7 linked regions of the Sus scrofa genome follow. The protein of the gene in region 3 interacts with the protein of the main gene of each other region in a pairwise test. Links are inferred from orthologs where the notes say so. Each region holds a gene or a part of one and is shown on either strand. Other genes may lie near its edges.

Region 1 (3,500 bases), on a different chromosome or scaffold from region 3:
TTAGTTGTGATTTGGTGTTTTTTTGAGAGGAGGCAAGCTCAAGTTCTTTGACTCTGTCATCTTCTCTCCTCTCCCTAATGTCTATTCCTTATGTGTGCAGGGTACTTTAACATTCACCACGTTTTCAAGTGCTTTTTCAAATAATTTCATCAGAGATAGGACAGGTTTTATTGCCTCTGTATTTCACATGAGAAAACTTCAGCATTGAGACAATTAAAAGACATTCTAAGTTTCCTGGAGTTAGAGGCCAACCCAGAATTCAAAGCAGAAGTTTTGATTTCCAGTCTCTGTTCCTTCCACCTCACTATGCTCTGTCTCAGTACTGCTCATCTTTCCTCTAACCAGGCTTTCCCTTCTGACTGCCTCCCCACGACACCAGCCAGGACTCAGCCCCATTGGCCCAGTCACTCCTCCTTCTCCTCCAGCATAGAGACCTGAGCTGGAAAGCAGGCTCTAAGCCACATTTGCTTGACCAGGATTATTTCAGTCTCCTGGTGGGATTTTCCAATTCCTCCCTGGAGGTTTGCTGCCTGGGCTCCAGTAGGGCATCTCAAACTTACCAGGGCTTCTATCTCCTATTCTTCTCATACTACTCTATATTTCACTCATCAAAATGGAGATTAGAGTGCTGAGTTTAATCACACATAAACCCATTCATTCTTTGATGAAATATTTATATATATATATATATATATACATAGTGTATATATCTAGGTATATTTCTATTTAGTTATAAAGCATGGTAAAAGACATACCACATACAAAATTATATTCAAATCTGGGGTTAGAAAAACATACCTAATCATTTTTCAAACTGGAAGTCACTTTCTCATGGAACACCCTTCAATTATAGGAACATCTTACTTTTGCAAAATAAGTGATTTATTTGCCATTGGTTTTGACTGTGGGTACATGGATGACGATTAGGTAAGAAGAGCGTCATGTTACCTTAGATTTCCAATGGCAAAGCCTAAGCTGTGCATGCATTTGGGGAGCAGCATTTTCCAGGGTTCCTAAAGCTGTGATTATCTTTACTTGCTAGATTCAGTTGCCTCCCCTCCAGTTCGGGATGTGGGCATGAATTCTCCAGCTCTGGTCTTCCCCAGCTCTTCTTCTGCTCCTCCTGGCTCAGAGACCACAACCTTCAATAGGACAAATGGTAAACAGCACAACTACAGGGCTCAGGGTCTAGTGATGATGGAAAGTTATTGATGCAACTAATAGTTGGTTCTCTATATGTACATTATCTGAATTTAGAGAGATTTTTTCTGCATGTCCCAAGGCCCTTAGCCCTACTTATTGCACCTTCTGTGGCTGCCTTTTTTTGTCATTTTTCTTTCTCCTATGGCTTTCCTATTGCTCTGGTACTGCCTCATTGCACTATAATCTCTGCCTTCTTAAAAGTGCTCTCTATCCAACTTAATTTCCTTGTCTGTGTCTTCTCAACCCCCAAATTTAAAAGTTTTTATTAATTATATCTGCCCTGAATACTTTATTGGTCGATAAGGATAAAAGCTGCCTCCTGGCAGTCTATCATCATGAGGTGATATAAGAAAGATTATAGAATATAAAACCCAGAGTACCTATGGACTTCACACTTGTGCTTTCCAAGACTGTCAAGATTTCTTGTTTCTGGCCTCTCTCACTACTTGATGTCCTTTTTGGATTGAACTGAGAATATGCTTATGAATAACAGTGGATTCTGTTGTGTTGTGGTATTATTCCTCAGAGCTGGGTTTGGATGCTTCTCCAGTGAAGAAGAACCCTCACCCTCCCAAGCTGGAAGGTGATGCTACTGACGGCTGCTTTGCCAATAAGCATGGCCGCCATGTCATTGGACACATTGATGACTACAGTGCCCTAAGACAGCAGATTGAGGAGAGCAGACTGCTGGTCAAGAAGATAGCATCTCTCATGAGATCAACCTGCAACTTTCCTGGCCTTGAAGCTCCAGGCCCAGAGGTAATCATATCATAGCTCTCAGGTGCACCTTTTTCCTCAGGGCCTTTCTTCTTCTGATTTTAGCTCCTTCTCCTGCTATTTCTTTTCATGCTCCAGATCTGAAGCCAGCTCCAATCTTCCATTTTCATCTGCTAAGTTCACTATAAGCTCTGCTCTGTTCTATATGTAGCTGACTTGATATATCCCCCTCAGAACCACAGAAAAGCTTTTACAGCACTGCCATCCTCATTGCCATCCTCATCAGTAGAGCATGTTAAGTGTCAACATACATGTGGTGCTGTACTGAGTACCTTTTATTTGCTTATTATCTACTGAAGCCATGCTTGCACATGACCATCTGTAGGCAGAAAAGAAAAAAAAAATATGTCAGTTGGCTAGGAATTGAGAATTTGAATCCATATGGGCAGGCGTGATATCGGACGTGCTGTGGGAGTGACAGCATGAACCCAGAGTCAGCTGTTATCCCAAGCAGGGAAAGTAACAGGTCCACAGGGGGTGCATAAGTTCTTTGGGGAGTAGAAATACCAGACAAAGGGAGTGGCACCTCAGTCCTACAAGCAGTGCAGCTCATCTGATGCATAAGCTGTGATTTAGGGAAGGGCAAGATGGGGCCAGTGCAAAAACTAAGGACCTCAGATTCTAAAGCACAAAGCAGGGCTAGAAGTTAAAGAGTATGGGGGAAGCTGGAATCAAATGAATTCCTGCCATAGGGTGTTCCTGCTGAGATCAGAATTTCACAGGGTCAAGTAGACCACGTCTGCGCCTCACTCACAAAAGAAGCTGAGGCTTATGCTCAGGAAAAAAGAAGTGATTTCTCAGCCCCAGGGATACCCATGGCTACCTCCCCCTTTTCCCAGGAGATGGGCAGCAAAGGTGTCCATGAGCTCCTGAGCAGCACCAACACTCTGCACCAGCGGCTGGAGGAGTCGACCTCCCTCCTCACCATGTTCTGGCGAGCAGCCTTGCCAAGCTCCCAAGGCCCTGCACTGGCTGGCAAAGTGGTAAGAAACCAGCATCGTCTACAGGTCCTGCCCCCAGATATCCTTCTGCCTCCTTGGTCTGCACATCCTGAAGTTTGGGAGCCAAATGGTCAGTTGGGACAGAGGGAGCTGATGGGAGTGTCCCTGGAGGGAGACTTCCCCATGATGGCCGATTTCAGTCTATCTCTGACTGTATCTCTTCGCCTCCCACCCACAACCCCTCAAACAAGTAATCAAAGAGAAAAAGGAAAAGATATGGAATAGGCAGACATGAGAGCCCGGGTAACCCATAAACCTTTGGTTTCTTCACTTTTCCAAAGTTTAGCTGAGCTGAAGTTCTTGGCCATGTTGAAACATCAATACTTCCTTTCCCATCCCCACCTTACCCCCAGGTCCACATAGTCAGGCAGGATCACAGAATGTCACCAGAAGTCAACTGGCCTCTTTTAGCCACCCACTGGAATCCCAGAAAAATCACTTAAATCAGCTTCTCTGGGTCAGTCCTAGGGAGAGTCCGCCTCCCCCAGGGGCTTTCATATCTCAGGCTGGCTCTCTGGT
Region 2 (3,500 bases), on a different chromosome or scaffold from region 3:
GAAAAGGACAAATGAAATACAAAGCTCTAAATGCATGTAACCATGAAAACAAGAACAGCAGTCACATAACATACTATTAGCATAACAGACGCCACTGCTTCTATTTAACAGCCTTTGCCAACACATGCCTACTCCCTTTCCTAGCTGGAAGGAACAGTTTCCTCTAAGAAATACTAGTGCATCATAATTTATTGTTAAAGTTACAACCTATGGAGAAATTAACACCTTGTCGATCTAGAACACTGGCAACCATTCCTCACATGCAACTTCTCTTAGAATAAGTCCCCTTGGCTGATGGGATGAGGTTTATGCTACAGAACCTTCTCCCCAACAGCCACGAACCCCCTTCTGTGACAGGCCCCTGCTGCCCTTGTCCCCCTCCCCAGACCAGCATTCACCTTTCCCACCCCCAAAAAGTGCAGCTCATGGTAAGCTTATATAGAAAATGATTTTAATGGGTGTCCCACCAAATATACTCTTCTAAAATCCCCCTCCATAAATCAGAGATAATGAACATGAACTGTGTTCTCGGATTTTTTTTTTTTTTTTTTGGAAAGCTTTCACTGGGTCAAAAAGGTGTTGAGTTTTGTCTCATGTATTTTTTTCCTTTAGATCCCAAGGGATCTAAAGGAGAAAACAGGTCATTTTCCCAGATGACCCTGGCCGGGCTCGGTTTCCCATCCCCTTTCCTGACTCGGGGTCTTTCCCAGGGACCAGTTATTGCTTCCATGACACGGTGACAAGGAACGTCCTACAAAGGCTGTGGGCCTGCTCACAGCCCACCTGCAACGACACCTCTGCGCTGAAAAACGCTCCAGCCCAAGAGCTGTCACCCAGAAGAAACATCTTCTGCCCTCAAGGTCACTGAAACGTTCTTAGTGCAGTTTAGAGGAAATGCTAGGATTTGGCATACATCAAAGGATTATTGGCACAACGCTCTCCGTACAGTTTCGTGTATAAATATCGCTGTGTGCTTAGGCCAGAGCCACGGCTGGATCAGCCGACCTGCACCATGCTCATGTCCACGAGGACCTCGTCTCTGCCCTTGGAGCCCTGCAGGGACAGCTGCCGCATCCTGTCCTCCAAGGCCCGGGCCTCGGACGGGCCACTCGGGCTCTTGCCGTTGTCACCGCCGCTGCTGCCGAGACCCCGATGACTGCCGGCTTTGTCACTCGTTTTATTTTCTGCCCCTTCTGCCCTGTCTCCTGTAGAAACGTAAAGATCAAGGCGTGAGTACCAAGCCCGTCAGCCGGCTCAACCCAGACTCTCCCAGTGCTGCTCCACCGAGCCTGTCACAGAAGCCCCTCCATCGCGTTAACGTCTCACTGCCTGTGTTTCTCGAGAAACTCCGTATATCCCTCATCTTTAGAGATGAAATCTGTCACACCCCTGTGACAGCTGGGAAACAGACCTCTCTAGCAGGTGCTTGTCAAGAGGACTATTGTGATGAGAGGCAGAAGGACGCTGATCCTGGTCAGGCACGGAGCTGGGAACCATCTCTGTCCCCACCCCAGCACGTCCCCAGCACCCCGGCATCCAGGACGGGCACTCACCTCGCTCCACCTCGCACTCAGGAGAGGAGGCCCCACTGCACTCGCTGCGAGGTCCCAGCACCGGGAACATCATCCCGAACTCCGACAGGGACACAGGGCTGGGCAGGTCCAGGCTGCCCGGCCTCACGGCCACAGGGCACCGGTCAGGCACCTCGGACGGACTTGTGGGTCCTGAGCTGAAGCTGGACACAGACTGGGTTTCCGAGTCATCTTCAGACACGAAGGTGCTGCAGTTGTCATCTTCGAAGGCCTCGGAGGCCACTAGGATGAGAGGGGACAGTCGTCACACAGGTCTGAAGGACAGCAGCCCGGCCCCTACACACCTCCAGATGTGTCCACTGCTGGAGGAGCTGGGCAGGGGCTGGGAACTGCAGGACCCGGCCACTGTGGGCACCTGATGAAAGGGACGTGGCTCGCCTGTACTCGAGTGGCCAGGCTCTGGAGCACCCTGAAGAGAAGCCGCTGGGCCCCGTGGCTGGTCAGTATCCTTCCCGTCACTTTACAGCCCCTGCCTTGGAAGTCACCGTCACCAGACCCTGCCTCATGATGGAAGGTGAATTCAGCCAAAGATACGGGGCTTTTCTTCACCCCAGTCCCCAAGATAGATCCCCAAGAGCACAGGAAGAGGGCTGGCCTGCCCAATGCATCCTAAACAAAGCCAGCCAGACTTGAGGAATCTTCCTCCGTTCTGTGGGAGCAGCAGGAGCTGCTGGACGAGACAGCTCTGTGCGGAATGTCTGCTGGGACCTCTGTCTCCCTCCAAGTAACTTGTGATCCCATAAAAGACATGCTTAGAGCCCACAGAGATCACCATTTGCCACAAAACAAAAACAAAAACAAGCCCACAATACCTTTATGTTGCTCTGTAGCTTGTGCCTTACTCGTTTTGTGGACCAGAATAAGCAAGGCCCAGAGATTCTGGTGGTTTAAAAGCTGCCTCGGCCTTAAACTATTTACTCCTCAGCCCACATGCCATCCCACGCCCTTGTCCTCCTCCCTCAGCTTTAAAAACGACCTGTGGCATCCCATGGAGGACTGGCGCCCATGAGAAGGACTGTGATGCTGGGCACAGACAGTGGGCTCAGATCTGAGAGCAAATCCTTTCTCCGCTATATGCTCTGTAGCCTCAGTCAAGTTACTGAACCTCTCTCAGGTTCATGTTCCTCTCCTCACAGGTTTACGAGATGGTGAGCACTAATGTGCTCACATCACTGATGCTCAAATTATAATTCCTTCTTTTACCTGGGGCCTGACGCGTGAACATCTGTTGGCTGAATTAAAGCCCACCTGAGGAAGGTGGCAAGAGCCATCACTCCACAGAAGGGGCAAAAAAAGGTCCCGGAGGCGGCACTGGGGGAGGGAGCGGGGGTTCTGGATTGACATAGGGGGAGCCGAAGCAACTCTCTGAGTCAGTTTCCCAGGGGTGGCCAGACACCACATGCATTGTCCATTGGGGGCTGGCACTCCTTCAATTAAACCTGACCACTGCTCTACACAGTGGACATCAGGGACTATCATGTGCCCTGCTTTACTGGGGAAGAAAGAGATAGAAGTTACATGCTTGCCCGCATCACGTACTAGTCATGGTGCAAAGGCCAGGACTCGAATCAAATCGGATTCCAAAGTCCCTATTCCAGACAACTCTTCATCCCTGCAGGACTTCTCAGAGCCTGGAATGCCCTCATATTACTTGGGGATGAGAGTGTGACATTTTCCAAACATGACCACAGAATCCTGATTCTGCAGATACACAGCAGCATCTTGGTGACTAGTGTCCCAAAACAGGGTGGGAAGGGGGTGGGGGAGAGAAGAGCAGGAGCAGGCCACATGCACCCCCAACTCACCAGAAACAGCATCGGGCTCGGGCTTGCCCCCTGACAGGTCCTCAGTGGCTGTGCTGCCCCCCTCAGCGCCGACGCCACGGCCGCGGGGCCCCATGGCACTGGA
Region 3 (3,500 bases):
CCACAAGGGAACTCCCTAGTTTCTCTAATTCTTGATTCAATGTCTCAAAAGGCATATTTGTCACCCTCATAGTTTTGTGGTGCTACCTTTTCATGAAGAACAAACTACTTGCCTAGGGTCGAAAGTAGTTAATAAGAGCACTGGAACCCCAAATCCTGATCTGTTATCTCTCTCCTCTGAAGAGGAATGAGAATATAGATTCCTAAAGGGCTGACCTCTAGCCACCAGAAAACCTGTCCAGCAGTGTTACACTGCTTAACTTACGAAAGGAACTACAATATCAAAAGATAAAGAACTGTCTAAAAAGAACAATTACTCTATAATAGAAAGAGACTTACAATAACAACTGCAGATAGAACCATGATTCTAAAAAGTCAGAGGAGCTTAGAAGAGAACTAAAAGAGTTAAAAAGAGGCCTGAGGAGTCTATGGTTACCACAGAAATTCCTCACAAACAAACACTTACCCTCATCCATATCAATCGGATCAGGCCGTGCTGGTTTTGTTTCTGGATTTGGATCTATTTCTCCAGGTTTAAGTTTTCGTGGATCATCTGTTGTTTCCTCTTCATTGTCTCTTTGGGCAGCTTTATCCCTAGAAATGAGCCCAAAGTAATTAGTCACATGGCCACACCATTTAGTCTTAGAAATACCAGGTCCCCTATTGCTGGAACTCTTTTTTTCAAAAACCCAATGGATGAGCATTAACAAATTAAGGCATTTCCACTACTGCTTCACCTGAAAGAGATGGCTTTAAAGTTCTCTAATTTCAGTTGTTTCCATTCACCACGAAATAGGATCCAAGCAGCATCTTAAATCACAAATGCAGGAGAACCATACCAAAAAGCTTTCAGTGAAGAACCAAGATGTTCAAGTAGTTAACTCTCTACAATGTGGTTATGCGTGATTTTTATTTGTTTTTTTACTCATTTTTCCACAGATTTTCTATGATGAACATGTATGATTTGTACAATTTTTTTTTTTTAGGGAGGCACCCACAGCATATGGAAGTTCCCAGGCTAGGGATGGAAATGGAGCTATAGCTGCCGGCCCACACCACAGCCACAGCAACACCAGATCCTAGCCGTGTCTGTGACCTATACCACAGCTCACGGCAATGTCAGATCCTTAACCCACTGAACAAGGACAGGAATCAAACCTGTATCCTCATGGATACTAGTCAGATTTGTTTCGGCTGCACCACAACAGGAACTCCATATATAATATTTTTAAATTATTCTTTTATAAACTATATAACAGGATTCATAATCTTGATCAAGCACATGAGATTTGGAACACATAATCCAAGAGCTTTAGCCCCCCTGGCTTTATTCAGATCTATAACTAATGTTTAAAGAGAGAAAATGCTAAAAGTTTATTCGGCCTCATTCAGAAGATATACATATTTTTTTCTTCTTCTTATGGCCACATCTGCAGCATACGAAGGTTCCCAGAAAGTTCCCAGGGTCGAATCAGAGCTACAGCTGCTGGCCTATGCCGTAGCCAAGCCAGATCCTCTTCTACGACCTACACCTCAGCTCACGGCAACACTGGGTCCCCGACCCACTGATCGAGGCCAGGGATGGAATCCAAGTCCTCATGGACCCTAGCAGGACTGTTTCCACTGTGCCACAACAAGAACTCCGACATACATATTTTAATACTGCTTTTGGAGACTCACTTACAGAAGAAATTCATAGTGTTCCAAACACTGGGCGGCTGTTCTTCCAATGATTGGAGCGATGGTCCTCCACTGAGTTGGCATCAACTTGGCCAAGTGCAACAGTTTTTCCTCTTCTTCTCTGGACCATTCTGTTTTCTTAATGCTTGGATCCAACCACTCATACCTATGAAAAAGACACCATTTTATACCTTAATTAGTCACCCAGTATGAGTACCCCATTTCCACAAAAGACATGCTGACTTCTAGTCTCTGAAAAATGCAAGTTAATTCTCATCCTTCAGTCACAAAAACTGTTCTTCTTTTACAACAGAATTATTAACCATTTGGTTAAATTTGCCTCATCTCTAATTCCCTGTCTCACTAAATTCTACTGTATTTAACTATGCAAGGTTAGTAATGCTTAAAAAAGGTAACTTGACTGAAACATGATCATATGCCTTCTTTCTAAACCACTGACTGGTTTCATTCATCTTACACTTTAATAAAGTCCAAAACCTCTAATAAATAGTAGAGGTTTTGGACTTCCCATGTGGCTCACAACACTTTATTAGAGGTTTTGAAATGATCTGCAAATAAGACCAAACCACTTCATATTTATATTGTGTTTCTAGTTTTCATAGTACTTTCTCTTGCTTTGATTTGATTGTCAGGACACCCTGGCTTACTTCTTTAAGCATCTGCCTTACATTCACTAAATGCTTTTCGACAATGTATACCTTTGTTGGGTGAGTTTTTCTAATTTAAGAAAACTATCATGTCATCTCTATTTTTCCTAACACCCCCATCCCACCCTTTCCATCCTGTCTACTTAGGTGGATGGAGAGGCCTACAAACAATATATAAGCCTAACTAAATACTGGAGTAGGAGCTTAGAGAAGCAGAAATCAGAACCACTTTCACAGGCTGAGGATCATCTTCCTTTTTGCGGGGCTATCTCTACATTCTGATCCTTCCCTCTACCCAGGGACCTAGGGAATTAGGTCACCCTAATACAATTCAAAATATGATTCCTAGCACCACATGGGTCAGAGTTGGGGCCAGATCACTCACGCCAAAACCGTATGTAGAGAGCTTAATGTGTCCACTACCCTGTGACTTAAAAGGGGACACCAGAGGTGTACTGTTGGGTTATGTTATATTTGGGGGAAGCAAACATTCAATGGGATTAGTTAATGAGGAAACTCAACTACTGTAAGCTAGCCTAGAAAATAATCTATTATTTATTATTTACTTCTTTGTGAAAGTACATTCTAAAACAAGCAACTCATAAGCTTTTAAACACAATCCACTTATAAGCGAGGGTCCGCCTGTCCCTAAAAGTAGCTGTATTTTATGCTTCACAAAGCACTCTCAAACAACATTGACTCATTTGCACCTCACTTCTCATCAGTTAAGGCCAACTGGGAGGAAACAGGGGCAGGAGAAAGGGGATAGGAAGTGGCTTGCCTGAGATCACACAGAAAGCAAATGACAGCTAATTCTTAAATCTAAATTCCCATCCCCCACTCCATACGTTCTATTTTATCACAATGCCTGCTGTCCTTGGTAAAGTTCAAAGAAATAATGTTTTCCTCATCATAATTAAGGTTGTTTTCTGTTTTCCACTCATTAACTGGTACATACCATCTGGCTTTGCACTGCTTGGCTGATTTTCTATGCAGCAGTGAGGCAATCCTAGACCACTGGTTTTTTCCATATTTCATTACCGCTGCTTTCAAAATTTCATCCTAAAAAGAAAAAGTGTACTCAATCACAGTGAGAAAAGACAAAATTTAAATTAACTCTAATAGGTTGTGCTAGGGATAAAGAAATATAGAC
Region 4 (3,500 bases), on a different chromosome or scaffold from region 3:
TTAAAAATAATTTGGTACACACACATCAATAATAACTCAATAAAGTTCGGAAAAAAGCTAGCTATAATGTTCCATCCTGAAATAATGGAAACATTTTACAAAGATCACCACCAAAATCTCTATTTTTGTGATTTACCTGTAGAAACACCACCTACCCTTGGTATCAAGGTGTATTATGTGAAAGGCAATATAAAAGCACCCAGAGATAGATCCAAATCTGCTCTGACCAGAGTTTAATTACTGGCCTAATGTTACCTTCCTGAAAAAAACGTCCAGGAAGCACTACCCACACTAATCTGATTAAACCATGTTTTGCAAAGGGCAGGTGTTCTGAATGAGGCCTTTGGTCCCACTACAGCTTGAAAAAAGACGGACCTAACAGAAATTAAGCTGTTCCTTCACAGCCAGCACGTGTGCATTTTCCTTGCTCTGAAATGGCGCATTTACTGAGGTAATCACAGCTGGCACAGCCCTCGCCTACTAAGGAGCTCTTGCTCCCTGGCACAGAAGGAAGCGCTACAATGAGTACGAATGGCGTCTCAGCTTGTAGGTAGTAAAAAATACCAGACTACCAGAGTAGTCTATGCACAGGACTAGAAGAGGCCGAGTCAGAAATGGTTAGATCGGATGAACGCGTGGCTATGGCTCAACCTCTCGATCCCTTCGGCTGGCTGACATTTAAGCGTTTAGTTCTGTGCAAACACTAATCATGTCCAGGTCTGCTTATCTTTATAGCAACAGAAATTACATATGAATAACAACAGTACACAGACTGTGTTACAGTGAGGCACAAGAGTTTTCCTTTATGTGCTCAAATACACTGCTTTTGGGGTGGTAGAACTGTCTCACTTTTAGTTAGCGTCTCTCTATGGAGCAGAGAGGAGAGGAGGCCGTAATGTGTGTGGGTACATGCCCTTTTGGGATGGGGCAAAATGAAGAAAATAATGAACTTCTGGGAAAAAAATGAGTTAAGCGGAACTTCTATAGCTTGATGAACACACACAGAATTTAACAGGATGGCATGCCCAGCTGTCATTACTCCAGGAGACTGAGTTCACTGCTAATAAGTTTACCTTGACCTTTTTATAATCACGTTAGGTAACTTGGTCATTCTTTGCCCCATATCTATGTTTTCTATGATAAATTATATACCAGTAATACTACTCTCATCTTACCTCTCTTTTTCAGAAATCTGGTTATCTATAATAAGCAGTCAATGTTATGATCCTTCAAGATGGGTAGTAGCTAATGAATTAATATGTCAAGCAGAAAAAGTACAACATCCTATTTCTCTAGCCTACATGTAATTTCCAGTTACCTTAAGTTTCCAGATATAAGATGCTAAAGACCATGTGACATCCAAAGCATATGCAAAGAACTCTGGGGCTAAAAATATGATGAACCAAATTTTAAAGGCTAAAGAGTAATAAGCCTGGGGTTTTCCCTACTGGGACACAGCAACAGCCATTTATTCACATGTTGTCTATACTCGCCTTTCCACGACGAAAGCAGAGCTGAGTGGCTGCTGACAGAGACTACATGGCCTATGAACCCTGAGATATGCACCATCTGGCTCTTGATAGAAAATGTCTGTCACCTTGGGAGCGAGCTCGAGAAACAGGACATTCTCAGTATCAAGAAGGCCCCCTGTCCCCGCCCCCAGTTTCGACACCCTTCCCAAGCCCTTTCCTGATTTCTAACGCCACAGACTAACTGGGCCTGAACGTGTGCCACGGCAGTGACAACGCCAGATCGCAGCCTGCCGACTGAGCCATCAGGGAACTCCTTATTCAACACCGGATTGCTGAGATCTGTCCACACGGCTACAGGCAGTGGAAACGCCTCTTCACTTCTGTACGGTACACCTAGAATGTGTTCCTGAAGCAAAATTATGACACAGGCAGATGTGCTTTGATCCCCACCTCATCCCTCCTTTAGTCCCATGGGGGCTTTTTTCACTTCCCCTCCCAGATACTCTCCATTTTGCTTCCCTCCACCCACCAACCCCTCATTCCTCTCCTACATCAGGAAATGTACCTCTAAGCACAGCTAAGGGTTAATGCACCAGAAGGTTGTAAAGCTTCGAAGCCTCTGTCAAGCCTGAGTACAAAAAAGGGGCAAATTTACTTGTGGATAGGCAGGCATCACTGTGCCAGGGGACGGATGCCGGGATCCTCAAAACAGGACCCGACCACTATCTGTCCGTCCATCCGATTGGTGATACCCATGTGAATTGTTTCGAGGTTTGTGTTCTTACAAATAACACTGCTATGAATATTTTTGTACATGTGTTTTGTTTAATATTTGTACATACTTCTTTTGGGAATTTATGAAGGAGTGGGGTCTCCTGATGATGCCTCTGGAGTTGCCATCATAATGTATGCATTTGTGGATCTGTGATAGACATTTGCTTTTTTTTTTTTTTCCTCCTTTTCAGGGCCACACTTGTGGCATATGCAAGTTCCCAGGCTAGGAGCTGAATTGGAGCTACAGCTGCCGGCCTACACCACAGTCACAGCAATGCCAGATTCTTAATCCACTGAGTGAGGCCAGGGATCAAACATGTATCCTCATGGATCCTAGTCGGGCTCGTTAACTGCTGAGCAACGAAGGGAATGCCCAATACTTGCATGTTTTTTTAAATAATATTTAATAAACTTTATCAGGTTATAATCAGTTTATGAGTTTAATTTTTCAAAAAGGGCGCATAATGTAAACTCATGACTGTTTTCATTTTTGAGAATGTAAGGCAACAGTATGAATTTATCCCGCTCTCCTTTTATTTCTTAGCTGTACCCATAAAACCAAGCGCACTTACGTTTCCGATCATCACCGCAAGCAACCTCAGCAAGGTACCGGAAGTAATCTCCCTTCATTTTCAGGTAGAAGACCTTACTCTCTGGATTAGTTGCATTGGCTATTAAATACTTATCCAACAATTCCTGAAAGAAATAAGTTAAAACATTAGGCACTAATAAAAGTAACTACCAGTCACTCCACACCGTGCCACCCTGGACTGAAAGCATGGGCTAGAGAGCAGGGGCCAGGTGGCTGCCATTAGTTGAATGGCTTGGCTCACAGTGAGTGATAATTTCTAACGGTAAAGCTAGATGACATCAACAATCATAATTAGAAAGAGCCTGTCAGTTCGTTCATCCATTCATTCAAAGAGGCACTTGCTAGGTGCCAGGCACTGCATGTGACCAGAGGGGAAATAAAGAGAAGGTTCCTGCCCTCAAAGAGCTCACAGTCTAGTACGGAAAAAGGTAAGTACACTATGACCAGTACACAGGGCATAAAAGACACATGAACAGGGGGCTATGGAAGCACAGGGGACGACTATCTGGCTCTGCTGGAGGGGCCACTGCTAGGACAAGCTTCCCCGGGGAAGGGATGTGTCGAGAAGTAACAGAAGGAACACAACAGTGAGAAAACAAGCATGTGCAATCACTTCAGGGAGGGAAACAAAATGTTTAAGCCATCAAGTTTGAACAGTATAA
Region 5 (3,500 bases), on a different chromosome or scaffold from region 3:
TGTGTGTGTGTGTGTGTGTGTGTGTGTGTGTGTGTGTGTGTGTGTGTGTGACTGAGTTCCTTTGCTGTACAGTAGAAAATTGACAGAACACTGTAAACCAACTATAACTGAGAAAATAAAAATCATTATAAAAAAAGAATGGAAATTCATAAACATTAAGCAGAAAGCTTATCTTAGCTTCAGGCAAAGCACTTACCATGCTTTGAAGTTTGGATTGTGTGCTTAGGCGGTCAAGTAAAAATGGCAGGGACAATGTTTTGAGAAATGAATAAAACTCCTCCAAAGCATGAAACTTTCAAAACGCAAGATCCCTTCTTGGTTTGAGATTAAAGGAGACATAAGAGGCAGGACAATTAAGTGCAATGCATCTCCAAAGGTGGGCCAGTGGGGTATGGGCAGGGGATGGGAAATTGCCATAAAGGACACTATTAAGATAACCGGCTAAAATTGAAAATTGTTTATGTAATAGTCTTGTGTCAATACAGAATTTCCTGAATTTGATCACTGTACCGTGATTATGTAAGAGAAATGTCCTCATTCTTAGGAAATATGGGGAAAGGGTTGACTGCAACTTAATCTCAAATGGTTGGGTGTGTGTGTGTGAATAAAGCAAGAAGTGGCAAAATGCTAACAATTGGTGAGCTTTGGTGAAGGGTTTATTGGAATTTTTGGTACTGGTCTCTCAGTCCTTATTTTTCAAAGTTAAAAACTAGAGAGTTCCCTGATGGCCTAGTGGTTAAGGATCCCACATTGGCACTGCTGTGGCTTGGGTTTGATCCCTGGTTCAGGAACTTCTGTATGCCACCAGCACAGCACCCCCCCCCAAAAAAAAATTAAACAAAAAAAGCTACATGTCTTCTCAGAGCCTCTTTCATCCAGTCACTATTCAATGTAAAGAAATTCCTCCACCTACAACCTTCAACTCAAGAACTCTGAAAACACAAAATAACCCTACAGACCAGCATCCTCCTCCAGCAGATGGCACTGGAGTAGTAGTTTTTCAGCCTGGCTTCCCTGTAGAATCAGCTGGAAGCTTCGAAAAAAAATTTTAAGTCCAGGGATCCGCCCAAGATCCTTTAAAATCAGATTCTCTGGAGACCAACTCACAGGTGATTCTAGTTGCAACCAGGATGGAGAACTTCTGTGTTAGATGAGGTATTACTGCAGGTGTATTTTATTTTATTTTGTCTTTTGTCTTTTTTTTTTAGGGCCACACCTGCAGCATATGCAGGTTCCCAGGCTAGGGGTCTAATATGAGCTGTAGCTGCCGGCCTTTGTCAGAGCCACAGCAACTTGGGATCCGAGCTGTGTCTGCGACCTACACCACAGCTCACAGCAACGCCGGATCGTTAACCCACTGAGCAAGGCCAGGGCTCGAACCCACAACCTCATGGTTCCTAGTTGGATTCGTTAACCACTGAGCCACGACAGGAACTCCTGAAGGTTTATTTTAAATCCAAAGTGACGCCATTGAGGACATTCCCTTGTGGCACAGAGGGTTACGGAGACAGCATTGCCACAGTTGTGGCACAGGCTGCAACTTCGTACAGGTTTGATCCCTGGCCTGGGAACTTCCATATGCCATGGCCTCGGCCAAAAAAAAAAGAAAAAGAAAAAAGAAAAAACCAACAACGAAACACACCAAAACCCCCACAAAGTGATGCCACTGAAAAGCCCTTGACTTATGACCTTGACATTTACAAACTTGGGTCGTGTTGCCTGCAGGAGGATGAGCCCCTCAGAAGGTAGACAGATTAAGCAGGCATCTGATGCTCCAGTGAGAAGCTGCAGACCACTCAGTTAGCCTCCCACCCGAGCTTTGGAGAGACTCCTGACCTCTCCTGGCATTAATACTCCTGGGATAGATAAAGCAAAGAATCTCCAAGGAAGTGCACTGGTGTCCGGCCTGCTGAGCACCTCTGTACACAGATTTTCAATTAAGGGACAGTGGGCCAGCTGGGTGCAACAGTCCCTCCGCTGGGTTTGAACATCCAGTCTCGTTCTTCATGGCCACCAGCAGAGGGAGCTCCATACCCAGCCAACGCACGCAAATGGCGCCTCAAGGCGAGGTTGTGGAAACAGGTGGAAATGCTGAATCACCCAGCTGAGTGGGGCTCTATCACTTCCTGATCTGATTACTTCTCTGTATTCTCCACTGGACTGTGAGCTCTGACTGTGCCTGATTTACCTTCTGCCTGCAAAGTCTCACATAACCCCGACGCACACAGAGTGCTCAGCAATATGACCGACTGTGGCTATTTTGGGCCTCAGATAAGTGAATATTCACCAGACTGGCCAAATGTGGGCACTCCCTGGGATTGCCAAGAGGCTGGAATGCTCTTCCTGCCCTCCTTAGGTCCCTCCCTGGGTATTTTCTGTATCCCAGGCCAAAGCACCACTGCGTTTATCAGAACGCCCTTCCTCCGTGGAGACCCGGAACGAGGGCCTGAGCACCCCGTCCTCCGACGGCATCCTTCCCAGCCCTCCGCAATCCACCCAAACCTTCCTCTCCGCACAGGCCCCCGACCGCTCCCAAGCTGGGGCGAGTCCCCAGGCCCAGACAACAGGGTGAGAGACTCACGCTCCGCCGGGCACAAGGGGCTGGAACTTCCACTGCTCCTCCTCACAGTCCAGGAAAAGCCGGTTCATGATCTTGTTCTTCTCCTCTGGGGGGATGAAGTTCTCGATGATGAGGTACCTGGGAGCAGGGATGAGGTAGAGAGGGGGGTTGGGGGGGTGAGACCACCCGCTGTATGGGAAGGTCGAAGGATGAGAAAGCGAAAAGCAAAGAGGCAGAGGAAACAGGTGGCAAAACCAAAAAGGTGGGGGAGGGGATCCCTGGAGACGTACTAGCGCTTGAAAATCACGTTTCTAATGCAGAGCTCGGGGCCTTAGGCGCTACTTCTGGGCAGCACCCAACATGCACCTTGCGGGTCATCACATGCAGGTGGAGGAAGGAAGGAGGAAACAGGGGGTCGAAGAGACCCCAGATGGGCCCCTCCTGCATCCCTCAGACACATTCTGTTCCTAAGGGGCCGGGACTCAAGGGTGAGTAGACAGAATGAAGCCTTCGGGAAGGAGAGGAGCCCGGCGGGGAGCGGTACCGCCTGCGGGGCGCTGCGAGGACCCCGAACCGGAAGAGGAGGGGCCCTACTTGAGCTTGAGCTCCCGGGTCTGCTCGTTCTGCGCCTCCTCCAGGTCCTGCCGCACGCGGATGTACTCGTCGTGCTGATCCTGGATCTCCGCCTTCACCGCCTGCAGCTTGGCGTAGAGCTGCGTGGGGACAGGGGCAGCTCGGAGGCTCCGGCCAGCGCAGACAGCCTGGGCCCCAGAGGCTGCGGGCTCAGAGTCCACCAGCTCCTCCCAGCATGAGGCCAGGGCCCACGCCTGGAGCTCCCCGCCGCCCCACCATCACTGGGAGCGGGTTATTCAGAAGGCAGCCCTGTCCCTCTTATGCCTGTTAACCGGCTGGCTATCTCTCTCAGGTGCTGTCCACCTCG
Region 6 (4,249 bases), on a different chromosome or scaffold from region 3:
CGTCCCCGGGGTCCCAAACCCCCACGTCTGGAAATCTGTCTCCATCTGCTCTTAAGCAACCAGAGAGCCTCAGAGGGAAAGTGTGAACTTGGGTGGAAAATTCTGGAAAAGCTACACTGAGTGGGAGTGAGAGTCGAGAGGAACTTCCACCTCTGATGTGTTTCAAACCGGGTGAGTGCCGAGACCTCTCGGTGACCTGCGTGGCTGGACTAATTACCAATGTTATCAGGCGGATGACAGACGTGCCCCGAACTTCCTCTGTTTGATAGATTCCGCTGCAAACACTCAAGTTCAGGCTCATGCCTGCTGCTTTCAGTACTGCCCTATTCTTCCACGAGGCCACTCCTGGCCTCCCAACTCCTCTGGCCTGTCACACGCTTCCGAGCTCAACCAGGTCAGCGTGCTCACTGAGCCCTGGCCGGGTGACCTGGGGCAGGGGGAGCGCCCCTCCTGCTGGACCACACGGGGCGCAAAACCCCTCTCCTCTCCAGCAGCGGTGCAGAAAACAACATCGCCTCCTTCCCTGCTCGGGTTTCAGAGGAGGACACGAGAACGGAGCTGCTTACCTTCCTCGCCGCCGCCCCTGGGGAGCTCCAGCCCGTGGGTCCCTGGCGGGTGAGCCCTTGGCCAGCACACACCAGGGTCCCGCACTCCGTGCAGGCGCCGATGATCAGCTGTCGCCCATCGTCCACGAGCAGGCTGTGGCTCGCTCGAAGGGTGTACAGAAACAAGGGCAGCCGGGCCACCCGCACGGCCTTGAGCCCGAGACACCGCTTCTTCTCCTGCTGGCAGAAGAAGCACACGAATATCTCCACTTGGTACTGCCGTGACCAGGGGCTGATGGCGTGGGGGGCGCTGCGGGCCTCGTGCTGCAGCCACTGGCCCAGCAGGTCATGGTAACAGAGCACGCAGGTGGCCACCAGGCCGGTGGAGTCGGCAGGCCTGGCGCGCGGGGCCGGCGGGTAGACAGTGAGGAAGGGGAAGAAGGGCTCCTTCTCGCCCAGGCGGCTGGAGGGGTTCACGTTGAGCTGGAACTCCTTGCCGGGGCCCAGCTCGGCCCCGCAGATGTAGCAGACGGAGGCCGGGCCACCCTGGGCCGAGGCGGGCGGCTCGCAGAGCGCAGGGTCCGAGGCTGAGAAGGCCTGGTGGTACCGGCCCAAGAAGCCCTGCACAGAGGTGATGAGCTCCTCGTTCTGGCAGGCCCGGTACAGGGCCCACACGTCCTCCAGGACGCTGAAGCACTTGGGGCAGCTGCGGACCTCACAGCGCTTGTTGGGGCCCTGGGCGTTGGGCGGGCAGGGCAGGAGGCTGAGAAACGGGAAATGCATGGAGCCCCTGGCGTTGCCGTTGAGGGTCCTGCAGGCCACGGCCCGGGCATCCCGCGTACAGTCCTCCCCGCAGAGGTAGCAGGCCTCTGGCAGGGCCCCGGCAGGCGGGCCCTCTTCCCTGGGGAGCCTCCTGCCCTTGGAGGCCATGCCGGGAGCGTGGCTGTTCAGGGGCACCACGTAGAGCCGCTGCAGGACCGGCACGTTGGCCAGTTCGAAGCTTTGCCACTGCTGCATGAGGGAGGAGAAGCAGCAGGGGCACACCAGGGTGCTGCCACCCTCGCTGATGGGCTGCGCCCCCGGGGGCGGGCTGTGCAGCCACAGGAAGGGGAAGAAGGGCGCCTGGGCCAGCTTCTCCTGCTTCTGCACGTGGATCTGGTGCTGCGAGGCCGGGGACAGCGCACACCCACAGATGTAGCAGCAAAGGCCCTCTGGTGGTGCAGCCCGGCTCTCCAGGGGAGCCCGGGGGGCACGGCCCCCGCCAGCGGCGTCCTGGTCTCTGGGGCAGCAGGGGCCTGGGAGAGGCTGCTCCTTGCGGTCCTCCTCCTCGCTGGTGATGTTGACGTCACTGTCCTCAGAAGCGCGCGTCTCCGCCAGCGGTTTGCTCTCGGCAGTCTTGGCGGCCCTGCCCAGAGGGGCTCCTTTCACGCCCTCTGCAGGGGCGCCTTGGACCGGAGGCCTTTGCCAAGGGTCCGGAAGGCCCCTCAGGACGCTGGCCCGGGCCTCTGGGGCCCAGGGCCTCCCAGCGCCCTTGCGCCGGCGCCGGATGCCGGCCCTGGGCTCCCCGTCCACGTGGAGCTTCGAGGGGATCCCGTCGTCCTCCAGGTCCCCCGGCGTGGGGGTCTCCGCGCCCAGTCCCGGAGGGGGTCCCGGCGCCGGCCTCCACTCCGGGCAGCGGCCCCCGCGAGGCCCGGGCCCGGGGGCGGCCCGCGCCGCTGGCGCCCCGTCCTGGCGGGGACTGGCGGCGTCGCGCGCGGCGGGGTCGGGCTCGGAGAAGGGGTCTGTGTCCGACAGCTCCGACAGCTCGGAATCTCGAGGCTCCTCGGGGGCCGCGCGGGGCCCGGGGCCGCCGCCGCCGTCTTCGTCGTCGTCGGCCGCGCCGCCCAGCGCGTAGGCGACGTTCCACTCGCGGGGGGCCCCGGCGCCCCCGCGGCGCCCGCCCGCGCCCGCGTCGCACTGGTGGGGCCGCTTGAGCCAGTACATGCGCTTGTCCACGGGCGTGCGGGCGCGCTCGAAGGCGGCCCACTGCTCGCCCAGGAAGCAGCGGCACACGGCGCACACCAGCACGCAGCCGTCGGCCGGGGACAGCTCGCGCGCGCCGGGCGCCGGCTCCTGCTGCTGCAGGAACGGGAAGAAGGGCTGCGCCGGGGCCCCCGCGCCCGCCGCCGCCGCCGGCTGCTTCACCTGCAGCTTCAGCTCCTTGCCGCGCCCGATGCCGCCGCCGCAGATGAAGCAGGAGAGCGGCGCGCCGCCGCCGCCGCCCGCCGCCCGCTCGCCCACGGCTGCCATGAGCCGCTGCTTGCGGGAGACCGGCGCCGGCCGCCCGCTCATGGCCGCGCCGCGCCGGCCCCCGCGCGCCCCGGGCCGCCCTCACCGCCCGCCGCCGCCGCCGCCGCCGCGCCCAACTTGGAGCATGTGTGCGCGCCGCAAAGTTTGGCGGCGGGCGGCCGGCGCGGGCGCGGGCGCTCGGCCGCTCGCAGGGGCGCCCCCCCCGGCCGGCCGAGCCCCCGGCGGCGCCGCGGCGAGCGCGCCCGGAACGCAGCGGCGGCGGCGGGCCCCGGGCGGCTGGAGCGGCAGCCGCATGTGCGAGCTCCGGCGCCTGCCAAAGCGTTGGGTCATTTAATTGGGGAGGAGGGAGGAGGGGAGGGGAGGGGAGGGGAGGGGAGGGGAAGGGCGGGAGGGCGGGAGCGCGGCGGGCGGGGGACTCCCTCCCTCGCGCTCCCTCCCCTCCCTCCCCTCCGCCTCCCTCCTCCTCCTCCACCACCTCCTCCTCCCTGCCTCCCTCCCAACCCCCCCCCGCCCCCCCCCCGGTCCCAAACTGCGCACAATAGCTCGCCGGCTCCTCTATCTATTTTGTGTCCAGCCGGGAGCCGCGCTCGGTGATTCATTGCCCCAATTAGGGGGCTCTCTCCAGCGCGCCAGGCTCGAGCCGTCTGAAGGGTCTCCTCCGGGACCCGCGAAAACCCATCAGCCGCTAGAGCTGGTCTTTAAGTAAAGGTCAGGCAGGACGCCGGAGGAGCCAGGTAAGGACGCGGCCGGCGTCCCCGGAGAGCCCGCCGAGGAAGGGCAGCTCTCTAGAGGAGGGAGGCTGCCCAGTGAGCTGGGCTGTTGCCGGCCCTCTCCCCATTCCAAAGGGTCTCAGCACCCGCCCCCCACCCCCATCTAAAGGGCCCTTTACAGCCCTGAGGAGTCCTGGATCCGGGGTATCTTTCAGGGCCCAGGGTTCTAATTTTGGTGACAGGGAAGAGGGGCTGTCTCCTGGTGGCCTGAACACCTTAGTGAATGCACCAGCCATCCTGGGGACAGACTCGGCTGCCCCGCCCCTCCCCACTGCTGGCCAGGGACAAAAAGGGTCCCGTGTGTCTAGGCTGTGTGTTCCAGGGCGATGACTCAACAAGTCTGGGCCTTTCAGGGGATTAACTGGTTCCAAGTCACACGTGTAGATCATGTATTTCTTAAACACACAGAGAGAGACCTTAGCATGCGCCAGGTGCAGAGTCTAAGCAGTTTATACACATCCTCTCGGTCGCTCTTTTCAGTAACTCTGGGTTAAGTGCCACGATCAGCCCATTGCACAGATGACAATGAGGAGGCGGCGAGCATTAAGGTGTACGCTTCGGGAGCGGCGGACCTGGGATTCAGACTCTGGCAGCCGGCTCCAGGCCCCTGTTCTCAACTCCCTGGCTGTACAGCCTCACTAAACA
Region 7 (3,500 bases), about 1.5 Mb from region 3:
GCTGTGACTCAGGTCACTGCTGTGGCGTGGGTTCTATCCGTAGCCCAGGAACTTCTTCATGTCGTGGATGCAGCCAAAAAAAAAAAAAAAAAGTACTTTGGGAGATTAGCTAAATTACATTATACACATCGTGTATACAGTATAGTATAAATATGTGTATGTATGTGTTTTTACTAAAATGTATATATTTACAGACATATCTCAGAGATACTGTGGGTTTGGTTATAGACAACGGCAGTAAAGTGAATATCGCTTTAAAGTGATTCACACAAACTTTTTGGTTTCCCAGTGCATGTAAAAGTTATGTTTATACTATGCTGTGCTCTACAATGTATGTAGTAGTGTTGCATCTGAAGCAACAATGTGCATACCATAATTTTAAAAATTCATTCCTAAAATATGCTAACTAACCCTCATCTGTGCCTTCAAGTGAGTTGTAATCATTTTGCTGGCTGAGGTTTTGAAATATTGGGATAATTACCAGAATGGGCTACAGAGACAGGAAGTGAGCAAATGTTGGAAAAATGGTGCTGATAGACTCTCTTGACTCAGGGTTGCCACAAACCTTCAATTAAAAAAAACCCAGGAGTTCTCGTCGTGGCGCAGTGGTTAACGTATCCGACTAGGAACCATGAGGTTGCGGGTTCGATCCCTGGCCTTACTCAGTGGGTTAAGGATCCAGCATTGCCATGAGCTGTGGTATAGGTTGCAGACTCGACTCGGATCCTGTGTTGCTGTGGCTCTGGCGTAGGCCAGTGGCTACAGCTCCGATTAGACCCCTAGCCTGGGAACCTCCATATGCCTCTGGAGCGGCCCTAGAAAAGGCAATAAAACAAAAAGACAAACAAAACAAAACAAAACAAAACAAAAAACATAGTATCTGCAAAGTGCAATGTAACAAAGTGTGTCAGTACTTATATACATTTATTAAAAAAAAAAAAAAGCCACAGCTGTGGCACAGGTTGCAGCTGGGGCACGGGTTTGATCCCTGACCCAGGACCTTCAGTGTGCTGCAGTTGCAGCAAAAAATTAATAATAATAAAAATAAAATTATACTACCAAAGTCTGAAATTGTTGTTCTTATAGTTAAGATTTGATTCTATACAGCCAAAAATAATTCTAAGGAAAGCCTTAATAAAAAAATATAATTATAGCATAGTACAATATAAAGTGAAACATCCTATTGAAAAGATTTCCAGGAGTTCCTCTTGTGGCTCAGCGGGTTAAGAACTTGACTAGTATCCATGAGGATATTATGGGTCCTCACTCAGTGGGTTAAGGATCCAGTGTTGCTGAAAGCTGTGGCATAGGTCACAGATACAGCTCAGATCTGGCATTGCCTTTGCTGTGGCTGTGGTGTAGGCCAGCAGCTACAGCTCCCATTCAACCCCTAGCCTGGGAACCTCCATATGCCACAGGGTGCCGCCCTCAAAATAAAAAGAAAAAAAAAGAAAGAAAATATTTCCAACATATTGGAAATTTTCTTAGGAGGAAATAAGAAACGTACAGAACAGGAGTTCCATGATGGCTCAGTGGATTAAGGATCTGGCATTGTCACTGCTGTGGCTCTTGTTACTACTTTGGCTTGGGTTCCATCCCTGGCCCTGGAATTTCTGTGCTGAGAGCCTAGCCAAGGGAAAAAAAAGTACAGAACAGTGTAAGTTACTGCCATTTTTGTGCAAAAATAAAGACGAATGTAAATTTGAGTGTGCACATAAAATATCTCTGGAGAAGTTTATTAAACTGCGTGGCACGATGCTGGGGAGGCAAAGAAGGAAGGCTTACTTTCACATCTCCTTTAGTACCTTTTGAAGTTTGTACCAGTGTTGTAAATTACCTTTTCCCCAAAAGTGCAATTTTTTTAAAAAAGCACATCCTATGTATGTAGCAAGGATACATGCAACAAAATGGGACCGGAACCTTTAGACCACATTCTCCTTTTCTCTTTTTTTCCTTTTTGGTTTCTTTTTTCTTACTGGCCACCCTGTGGCATATGGAGTTCCTAGACCAGGGATCAGATCCAAGCCACAGTTGCAACCTAAGCCCACCATTCTCCTTTCTGATTGCTTCCTTTGTCCCAAAGACACAGAGAGATGTTTGTACTTGTATGCTTGCTAAAAGGCATCTGAGGAGTTCCCGCTGTGGCGCAGTGGTTAACGAATCTGACTAGGAACCATGAGGTTGCAGGTTCAGTGCCTGGCCTTGCTCAGTGGGTTAAGGATCCGGCGTTGCCGTGAGCTGTGGTGTGGGTCGCAGACGCAGCTTGGATCCCTCATTGCTGTGGCTCTGGCGTAGGCCAGTGGCTACAGCTCTGATTAGACCCCTAGCCTGGGAACCTCCGTATGCTGAGGGAGCGGCCCTAGAAAAGACAAAAAGACAAAGAAAAAAAAAAAAAGGCATCTGAAATGACTACAGCCTCTCGTTTGCAGCGGATCAATCCCTCTGCTGAGATGGTGATGATCGACAGAATGTTCAACCAGGAGGAGAGAGCTGCCCTCTCCCGGGACAAGCGTCTGGCCCTCGTGGACCCCGGTAAGAAACTTCAGAGTAAAAGCAGAGGAGAGCTGCTGCCATGGTTCAGGAGCCGAGGCTTTGGGGACACTGAACCAACCTTTGGGGTAGGAGGCCTGAAGGTGGATCCTGGATTCCGGGGAATAAAAACCCAGAGTTGCGAGCAAGATATGAATACTCTTGAGTAGGTCTGTGTACTGCAAAATCCCAACTGCAATTTTCCATTCCGTTAAGTGATTCTTTTTTTTTTAAATGTTTTTATTATAGTTGATTTACAGTGTTGTGTCAGTTCTACTTTATAGCAAAGTGACCCAGTCATACATGTAAATATACATTCTTTTTCTCATGTAAACCTCCATCATGTTCCATTACAAGTGGTCAGATACAGTTCCCTGTGCTACACAGCAGGACCTCGTTACTTATCCATCCACTCCAAATGCAGTAGTTTGCATCAGTTAAATGATTCTTCTTCCCATTGTCAACTCAAACTTCTCAGTCTTTCTCTAGTTTTTGAGAACTAAAGAAAGTCAGAAGGCTTCCCAGAAGCAACTAAACCTCAGTGGATGGTGTTACTATGTGCAAGGCCCCCCGGGGGTGGGTGTATCAGTGAAACTCGGTCCCTGCCCACAGGCTGGTAGACTGCAGTGCTCCTTGTAGGTACCATTCTCTCACCCTGTTGGCTTCCTGCCAGTGCATGTGTGCCAGGTTTGACCCACATTCTGCTTTTAAAAACGAATTCTTGGGTTTCCCATTGTGGCTCAGTGGGTTAAGAACCTGACATTGCGTCTGTGAAGATGCAGGTTCAATCCCTGACCTTGCTCAGTGGGTTAAGGATCCAGCATGGCCATGAGCTGTGGTGCAGGTCTAAGATGCAGCTCGAATCTGGTGTTTCTGTATCTGTGGTATAGGCCTGTAGCTATAGCTCCAATTCGACCTCTAGCCTGGGAACTTCCATATGCCACAGGTGTGCCCATAAAAAGAAAAAAAAA

Evidence for each region.
Region 1: the proteins of CDC5L (region 3) and myomegalin interact in a two-hybrid assay, tested with the Homo sapiens proteins (2 studies listed by BioGRID and IntAct). The link is inferred for Sus scrofa from reciprocal best matches to the Homo sapiens genes CDC5L and PDE4DIP.
Region 2: the proteins of CDC5L (region 3) and SH3BP5 interact in a two-hybrid assay, tested with the Homo sapiens proteins (2 studies listed by BioGRID and IntAct). The link is inferred for Sus scrofa from reciprocal best matches to the Homo sapiens genes CDC5L and SH3BP5.
Region 4: the proteins of CDC5L (region 3) and YWHAQ interact in a two-hybrid assay, tested with the Homo sapiens proteins (2 studies listed by BioGRID and IntAct). The link is inferred for Sus scrofa from reciprocal best matches to the Homo sapiens genes CDC5L and YWHAQ.
Region 5: the proteins of CDC5L (region 3) and KIF3C interact in a two-hybrid assay, tested with the Homo sapiens proteins (2 studies listed by BioGRID and IntAct). The link is inferred for Sus scrofa from reciprocal best matches to the Homo sapiens genes CDC5L and KIF3C.
Region 6: the proteins of CDC5L (region 3) and GSE1 interact in a two-hybrid assay, tested with the Homo sapiens proteins (2 studies listed by BioGRID and IntAct). The link is inferred for Sus scrofa from reciprocal best matches to the Homo sapiens genes CDC5L and GSE1.
Region 7: the proteins of CDC5L (region 3) and BICRAL interact in a two-hybrid assay, tested with the Homo sapiens proteins (2 studies listed by BioGRID and IntAct). The link is inferred for Sus scrofa from reciprocal best matches to the Homo sapiens genes CDC5L and BICRAL.

What each region holds. Positions count from the first base shown.
Region 1 is NC_010446.5:100,650,619-100,654,118, reverse strand, and holds part of myomegalin, read left to right. Parts: intron 1-1,042; coding exon 1,043-1,159; intron 1,160-1,729; coding exon 1,730-1,962; intron 1,963-2,819; coding exon 2,820-2,963; intron 2,964-3,500. UniProt on the Homo sapiens protein: Functions as an anchor sequestering components of the cAMP-dependent pathway to Golgi and/or centrosomes.
Region 2 is NC_010455.5:2,505,602-2,509,101, forward strand, and holds part of SH3BP5 (SH3 domain-binding protein 5), read right to left. Parts: coding exon 3,398-3,500; intron 1,815-3,397; coding exon 1,554-1,814; intron 1,206-1,553; coding exon 997-1,205; 3' UTR 1-996. UniProt on the Homo sapiens protein: Functions as a guanine nucleotide exchange factor (GEF) with specificity for RAB11A and RAB25. Inhibits the auto- and transphosphorylation activity of BTK. Plays a negative regulatory role in BTK-related cytoplasmic signaling in B-cells.
Region 3 is NC_010449.5:39,387,397-39,390,896, reverse strand, and holds part of CDC5L (cell division cycle 5-like protein), read right to left. Parts: intron 3,410-3,500; coding exon 3,306-3,409; intron 1,846-3,305; coding exon 1,684-1,845; intron 594-1,683; coding exon 466-593; intron 1-465.
Region 4 is NC_010445.4:126,766,295-126,769,794, reverse strand, and holds part of YWHAQ (14-3-3 protein theta), read right to left. Parts: intron 2,943-3,500; coding exon 2,819-2,942; intron 1-2,818. UniProt on the Homo sapiens protein: Adapter protein implicated in the regulation of a large spectrum of both general and specialized signaling pathways. Binds to a large number of partners, usually by recognition of a phosphoserine or phosphothreonine motif.
Region 5 is NC_010445.4:112,997,924-113,001,423, reverse strand, and holds part of KIF3C (kinesin-like protein KIF3C), read right to left. Parts: intron 3,274-3,500; coding exon 3,155-3,273; intron 2,699-3,154; coding exon 2,582-2,698; intron 1-2,581.
Region 6 is NC_010448.4:3,654,765-3,659,013, forward strand, and holds the start of GSE1 (genetic suppressor element 1), read right to left. Parts: upstream 2,801-4,249; 5' UTR 2,529-2,800; coding exon 567-2,528; intron 1-566.
Region 7 is NC_010449.5:37,925,153-37,928,652, forward strand, and holds part of BICRAL (GLTSCR1-like protein), read left to right. Parts: intron 1-2,429; coding exon 2,430-2,532; intron 2,533-3,500. UniProt on the Homo sapiens protein: Component of SWI/SNF chromatin remodeling subcomplex GBAF that carries out key enzymatic activities, changing chromatin structure by altering DNA-histone contacts within a nucleosome in an ATP-dependent manner.